Caenorhabditis elegans: one gene and its partner. The protein of the gene in region 2 purifies or fractionates together with the protein of the main gene of each other region. This does not show direct contact. Each region holds a gene or a part of one and is shown on either strand. Other genes may lie near its edges.

The links.
Region 1: the proteins of dyrb-1 (region 2) and gpr-1 purify together in Caenorhabditis elegans (affinity purification with western blotting, with the first as the bait; one study listed by BioGRID). This does not show direct contact.

The regions. Positions count from the first base shown.
Region 1 is NC_003281.10:8,627,177-8,631,308, reverse strand, and holds gpr-1 (G-protein regulator 1), read right to left. Parts: upstream 2,384-4,132; 5' UTR 2,353-2,383; coding exon 2,105-2,352; intron 2,054-2,104; coding exon 1,553-2,053; intron 1,503-1,552; coding exon 895-1,502; intron 843-894; coding exon 622-842; 3' UTR 533-621; downstream 1-532. Other genes in the region: DnaJ homolog dnj-10, read right to left, coding at 41-134; polk-1 (DNA polymerase kappa), read left to right, coding at 2,813-3,013, 3,067-3,219, 3,288-3,522, 3,571-3,926, 3,977-4,132. UniProt on the Caenorhabditis elegans protein: In the 1-cell embryo, probably together with gpr-2, controls nuclear rotation and spindle elongation during mitosis. Complex of gpr-1 and gpr-2, in association with lin-5, activates G-protein signaling to affect mitotic spindle force.
Region 2 is NC_003280.10:9,105,964-9,109,087, forward strand, and holds dyrb-1 (Dynein light chain roadblock), read right to left. Parts: upstream 1,183-3,124; coding exon 1,104-1,182; intron 870-1,103; coding exon 661-869; 3' UTR 552-660; downstream 1-551. Other genes in the region: dnj-23 (J domain-containing protein), read right to left, coding at 1,657-1,776, 1,880-1,945, 1,992-2,446, 2,498-2,585.

The DNA.
Region 1 (4,132 bases), on a different chromosome or scaffold from region 2:
AGAAAAGAATTGGTTTATCACCAAATGGAGAATTATTAACCTAATTTTGTTGTGGAAGTCGTAGGCGTGGATACTTGAGCTAATAAAGGTACAGATCGATGAATGAGCCCGCTTGAACGGTTTAAGACAAACATTCCGAGTACCCTGAAACAAATTCACATTTTAAAATATAGAACATTCTAAAATAAATAATAAATTAATAAAATTAAAATAAAAAAATAAATGTTTTTTCAAGCTGTCTGCAAACACCGTCACGGTAAAACACACATTTCGGACGGAACATCGGAGCATCGTTTGGATTTTTCAATTTTCAACTTTTTCTCCGCGAATTTCAAAATCCGGCTCTTTTTCGGGAAACAATGCTTATTTACTTTCAACAATAATAAAGCTGGAATGGATGAACCGGATAAGGAGAAAATCACGAAAGTCATCAACGTATGTAGTAAAGAGTCTATAGAAATATGACTTGATGGATTTTCGCTAATTGAAAAAATCAGCTTTTCTGACCAGCAAATAAAATAAAAGAACCACTAAAATGATAATAATATTTACTGAAAGAAAGTAAAAAAAAAATAAATAAAGAAAGTTTGATTGTATTATTTGACAGAAAAAATAATGGTCCTATTTGGACGTCATTGTCACATCATCGCTTCGAGTATCATCGCCCTGCATCGAATTTGTAGAATCCAATGACGATTTGCTTTTCTTCGACCTCTTCAGGATCCTATTCATTGTGTGACCATCGAACTTCATCGACTGCACTTTTGTCCAATTGGCACGGAGTCCAGGGAGGATTCTGTGACTCTTTGTAGTCTTTTTCGATGCCGATGACACTGGACGAGCTGGAAAAATATAAATTTGCATACTTATACGCTTATTTATAACATTTCTTACGCGGAATGAATCTGGCAGCAGGCAGTTCAGTTCTTTGATCATCCATACGTGAGCTCATACTGAAAATGAGATCCATCATGTCTACGGGTTCCTCGTTCTCTTTCTTTTCGATCGCCACTGGTTTCTTCTGGTCGTCAATGATTCCGTTGACAATCATTTCCCAGGTTTCCACATTTGTTGCGTGCTCCAGTTCGACGACGAACTTATTAATCATGTCATTCGAGGATGTCGGATCAGGAGACGAATCAATTGCGAGGCATACATCTTGATCAGTTGCCGTTTCGCTTCTCTCTTGATTCATCGCCACGTCGATCTGCTCGTAGAACAGTTTGAAACTGTTTTGGTTGATGGTCAGAACACTCCCCAAGATGATAAAATAAGCAGCTTGGCGTCTTTTTCCAAGTGCAATGAGGCACTTTGCGATTGTAAGCAACACATCTCCAATGTATTCGTTCAATCCAAGCTTCCGAATCGATACAAGCGCTTCCAATCCGTAGAGATATGCTTCGTGGAATTCGCCATTTCTCAGCATCTCTTCGGATAGCTTCGACTTATATTTGACTACATCTCGCTCTTTTCCGAATTTCGTGGCGTAGAAGAGAGCACTTCTGTGAATAAAGAATTGATATTTTTATTAATCGTTAAAACTAAAAATTACCTGAGATCTCTGATAATAAAGAAAAGAAGATCTGTCTCAGCATATAGAGCCTTGTCGTAATAGGCGATGTGAACTGCTTCAAACTGGTCTGTTTTGATGGCAAAATCGATGCATTCTTGATACTTGCGACGCGATTCCTCGTATTTTTCGTCTAGTGACAAGCATTTCGCCTCAAGTAACATGATTTTGGTCTCAGACACAGCTCCTTCCGTATTATTCTCGTTGAACAATTTCACGGCTGCAATCTGTTCAGCACATATTGACAAAAGCTTCTTCTTCTCATCTTGATTACTCTCGACGTCTCTTTCACATCCTTCGAGGCACACGGAAGCGAACAAAATTCGAGCTTGACCGATATACTTCTCTCCGTTCTTCTTATTGCTGGTGTAATCAATGAGATCCTCAGCAAACCGTCGAGCCTTGGGGAACTTTCCCATTTTGAGTGCCTGCTCGACGATGCGACGTGTGGAATCACATGCTTCTGGGTAGTTGAAGATCAATCTGAAAAATTAAGGTTATAGAATGTCCAGCTCATTTTTGTGATTCACTTACTTGAACATGTTCAACTCATGTTCGAAAAACTCCAAGGCCTTGGCATCATGGTTCAAATGCCTGCACACTCTTCCGTAATACATGTAGATTGTACCAAGTAGTTGAAAATTTGAGGTTCCGAACTCCATTATCTCCTCTAAGCGTCCTTTTCCATCCTCGTATTGTCCCAATCTCATGGCCGTCACCGCGCTTTTCAGCATTGCTTCGGCGACTTCATCCTTGGGACCATCGTAATAAGAGACGTCCATTCGTTTTGCGAATGTGGAAACTTCTGAAATGAATCGAAAATTGCAAGCAAAAATAAAAGAAATAGAGGAATTTTACGGAAACAGGCAAAACATTCCCGCGATCTCCACGAATACACGAAATATTTAAAACGGGGAAAGTTTCTTCAAATATCTCACGAGGTTTAATAGACTATTGCACATTTTGTTATAAATTTTACAAATCTTCAATAAAACAACCGCTGACAAACAAATAAACTTGAAAAATGACTCGAGAATCTCGAGACAGATCTGTGGGGAAGTGAAAATTGGCGGTTAACGCGTAGTTTTTTCTCGCGCACTCAACTTCTAATTTGGCGCCGCTTTCTGATATGTCGTCAAATGTGTTGCCGATGTACGTAAGTACACCATTACGCGCATTTGCACACTCACAATCAGTGGAGTTTCTCCGCGAATTTCAAAATCCGGCTCTTTTTCGTGAAAAATGCTGACTTTCAACGATAATAAAGCTGGAATGAATGGACTGGATAAGGAGAAAATCACGAAAGTCATCGAAGAAAACACATCAGCGTCCTACTCGTCGTTTTCCAAAAAACAACAATCAAGAATTGAAGAGAAAGTTTTAGAAATCAAAAATCGTTTGCAAACAGCAACCAGAGAAGAAAGACAAAAATCTGAGATACTGGTATGTATTTTAAAAGCTAATAAATTTACTTAGAGCAAATTTCCAATTTTCAGATGGAGAATCTTGAGATGAAACTGGAATCATCTAGAGATTTATCAAGAGACTGTGTTTGTATAGATATGGATGCTTATTTTGCCGCAGTTGAAATGAGAGATAATCCTGCACTGAGAACAGTTCCTATGGCCGTAGGCTCATCGGCAATGCTGGTAAGCACCTAACTCAATTTGAAAAGTAAATTTTCGATTTCGGAAAAGCTTTAAATCTATTCTTTCAGAGCACATCCAACTACTTGGCTCGCCGTTTTGGAGTCCGTGCTGGAATGCCTGGCTTCATCTCAAATAAACTTTGTCCGAGTCTAACGATTGTTCCAGGAAATTACCCTAAATACACTAAAGTCAGTCGCCAATTTTCACAAATTTTCATGGAATACGATTCGGATGTTGGAATGATGTCATTGGATGAGGCATTTATAGATTTGACAGACTATGTGGCAAGTAATACAGAAAAAAGTTAGTGATTTAGATTTGATTATTAACAAAAAACTATTTGCTTACTAGAAACCTTCAAGCGTCACAGATTCGGCGGAGATTGTCCATGTTGGTTACCCCGTTTCGACGAGAATGAAAATACTTTGGAAGACTTGAAAATCGAAGAATCGATCTGTCCAAAATGCGAAAAATCGCGGAAAATCTACTACGACCATGTGGAGTTCGGAACTGGACGAGAGGAGGCTGTTCGAGAAATTCGATTTCGAGTTGAACAACTCACGGGATTAACATGTTCTGCTGGAATCGCATCTAACTTTATGCTCGCTAAGATTTGTTCTGATTTGAACAAACCAAATGGTCAATATGTGTTAGAAAATGATAAAAACGCGATTATGGAGTTTTTGAAGGATTTACCGATTCGTAAGGTGAGACTATTAAAGCATAACCTTCTAGTTTTACCTAGATAATTTTTTAGGTTGGAGGAATTGGTCGTGTATGCGAAGCTCAACTGAAAGCAATGGATATTCAAACTGTTGGTGATATGAATCTGAAGAAGAACCTATACCCTTTGTGTTTCACGCCTCTCTCACAAGAATCTTTCCTTCGAACGGCTCTCGGACTGCCAGGTCGT
Region 2 (3,124 bases):
AAAGCGAACAAGATTCAATGGGTGATATATTCATCATTAGTGCCTATGACTTCTTGCCAACGCAACGGAAGCTAAGCAATACCCTCCGCACAGAACTTCTGAGAGGTAAAGTAGAAAGTCGTCCAATCACGTTTCGACGACCTTTCGATCATGAAACTTATGCCTGGCAAGGTGATTTTAGAGAACGGAACAGATAGTAGTTAGTAGGAACCAAGTTTGGCGAATACGGAGGGTGAGGCAAAAATTGGGCAAATACTGTTTTACTACTTGATCTTTTACTACGTATCTCTTTTACTACAACATCTCTTTTACTACGGAATCTCTTTTACTACGAATTCCGCATCTAGATCTTTTACTACAGTTAGCTCTTTTACTACGTGATATCTTTTACTACGATTTGACCACATAGATCTTTTACTACGGAAAATACTTTTTTACTACCTTATCTTTTACTACGTGGATGTTTTACTACGTTTTACTCTTTTGCTACGGACGTATTTTTACTACGTGGAGGGACACTGTTCTAAGCATTTTCAAAAGAAAAAACAACTGCATATAAGCCGTTTATTTGGAAAAAATATCTGATATAAATTAAAATCGCACAAGCAGGGTAGAAAGATATAATGCTTTTTCATTATTTTTGAATGTTGGTCCCAGTTTTTACGAGAGGTCCTTGATAACCATAATGACGTGATCCTTGTCTGGAGCAATCATGATTTCGTTCTTCTTCGTTCGAAGCCTCAGGAATGTTAGATCATTGCTCGAATCGAGTTCACGAATGGAAGTCTTTGTCTTCTCACATAACTGCTGCAGGAATGCGGTGTGAGACTGGGTGGCGTCGCTGTCGATTGTCGAATGAATAACTCGGCCTGAAAAATATCTAGTTTCATGGAAAACAGTTATTGTTTATTGGTCAAAGCTTATGGAAAATTAGTTGTCAAGGTTTGGTGGTAATTCCCATTCGGCTGAGACCACACTAACTTTTCTAAATGTTACTTTCTAGTTTCTAAACTTTTACAATTTCTATTAATTTTGTTTTTTTTTTAATTTTGATTTTACATTTCTAAACAATTTTCAGGATAGAATTATCTAGGAAAACGTACCGGCTGAATCGACAACAATAATTCCAACGACTCCTTTCTCTGACTGTAGACGGCGAATAGTCTCCTCGAAATCAGACATCTGAAATCAAATGGAAATTGATAAGTTTGTAAGATGGAAGAAAAATAAGCACAGAAATGCAATTTTTCACTTGCTGGTCGACTGAGAACTGCCAAAATTTTCTCCATTTTCCACTTGAGGAGATATAAATTCAATTTCCTTTCGTCGGATATTGAAAACTTGGCGACGAGAAAACGAAAAGAAGATATTCAAAAGTTGGGCACAACTTTTGGCATAAAAACAAAATAACACAAAATAAGAAGTGAGCATGTTTTTTATAAATACCACATAGCAATTTCACAAGTTTTCAGTTATAAAAAATTGAGTTCAAAAGAAACGATTAGAGATCTCAAAAGTTAGAAAAAATAATTCCGGAGTGTATGGAACAAGGAGCAGTGACCAATGGAAGGGGAATACATAAATACGGAAAAGTAAGAAGATAGAGAAAGGAAGAAAGATAAGTTGTGACGAAAGAAGGGGCGGATTCTGATTCAATTACTGCCGCTTTGCCTTTTTGGAGGAAGAAGGTGCATACTTGGCAGCCAGTGAATCGAGGAACGACGTGCCACGTTCCTTCTGGCGACCTTGAATCAGGGCGACAAGATCCGAATTGTTCTGGAAATTAAATAATTATGCATATGAATATACTAAAAATGTAACCTAACGGTAAATGATAAAACTTATAAATAAAGTGACAGATTTTACTGCCATGACATACCTGTGTCATGTTCTCAACTTCGATTGCCTCCTTCTCAGCCTTACGCTTGTAAGCCTTCATCTTCTTCTGAAATAAAACATAAATTTTAACATATTTCACCTGCATTACTTACATCTGAAGTGCTCGTTTCATATTTCTTCGTCTTCTCAATTTCTCCATCATCAATAAGTTTATCCAATGCTTCTTTCAACTCTTCGACGCCATCGAATCCGATAGCATATTCTCTGATTTTCGCGATATCTCCATTGAATTTCTCGTAATGCACAACGAGCTCATCCTTCTGTTCACGAGATCCTTGATACGTCTTCATGAAGCTATCGATATCCTCTTTTGTCACCTTTTTGAAAATCATTCTCCATGCTTTCAAGGCATCTTCATTCAGCTCTCCAGCCTCATCGTCCACTGATCCGGTTTCATCGTAAATTTTCCTTTTCTCTTCATCGGAAAGAATTTGATAAGCTTTGTTGAGAAGCTGAAACTTCGTTGTGTACGTCTGCATATCTTCTTCTACAAGATTCGATTTATCCGGATGCCAGCGCATTGATTGGCGGTAGTATCCTTTTTTAACTAAAAAATAAATTTTCGCTAACTTTAAACATTTGTTTCCCAAAAACTTACGAGCTTTCTCATCGCAATCTTTCTTCACGCCAAGAAGCTCGTAGAGACAATCCGTATTGAAGTGAGTTTTGCATTCTTCCAGAAACATAATCAGCTGGCTGAAAAATGGAAGAAATCAATAGAAAACAGTTGCGAAAGAGTGAATACCACTGGGAGAAGAACGTTCAAATAAAATGACTGGAATCGCAAATTTGCTCTAACGAACAAATAAAAAAGCGCCATGTTCAAACACGAGTTTCGGTCAGAATTGAATTTAAAAAATGCAAAATAGACATGAAATTTCTGCAGAAACGCGTTACCTACTAATATTTATATTAATGATAACAGGAGTGGATGAATATAAATTATTTGGAGCGTTGTTTGTTGCCTAATACACGAAGAAATGTATTTAACAGAAATGGATCATGGAAATGACTTTAAATTCAATTTTAAGTCAGGAGTTTTAAGATTGGGGTTAACTATTGCGAAATTTTTTTATTTTACTTTTACAATATTTTTCAATTTATTCTTAATTTCGTGCTGAAGAATAGAAAAAATCGATAAAAAGGAGTTGAAAATTAAATAAGAAAAAAAACAAATTCAAAAAACTCCATGAGACTGTGATTCGTGGTGAGACCTTGTCATCTG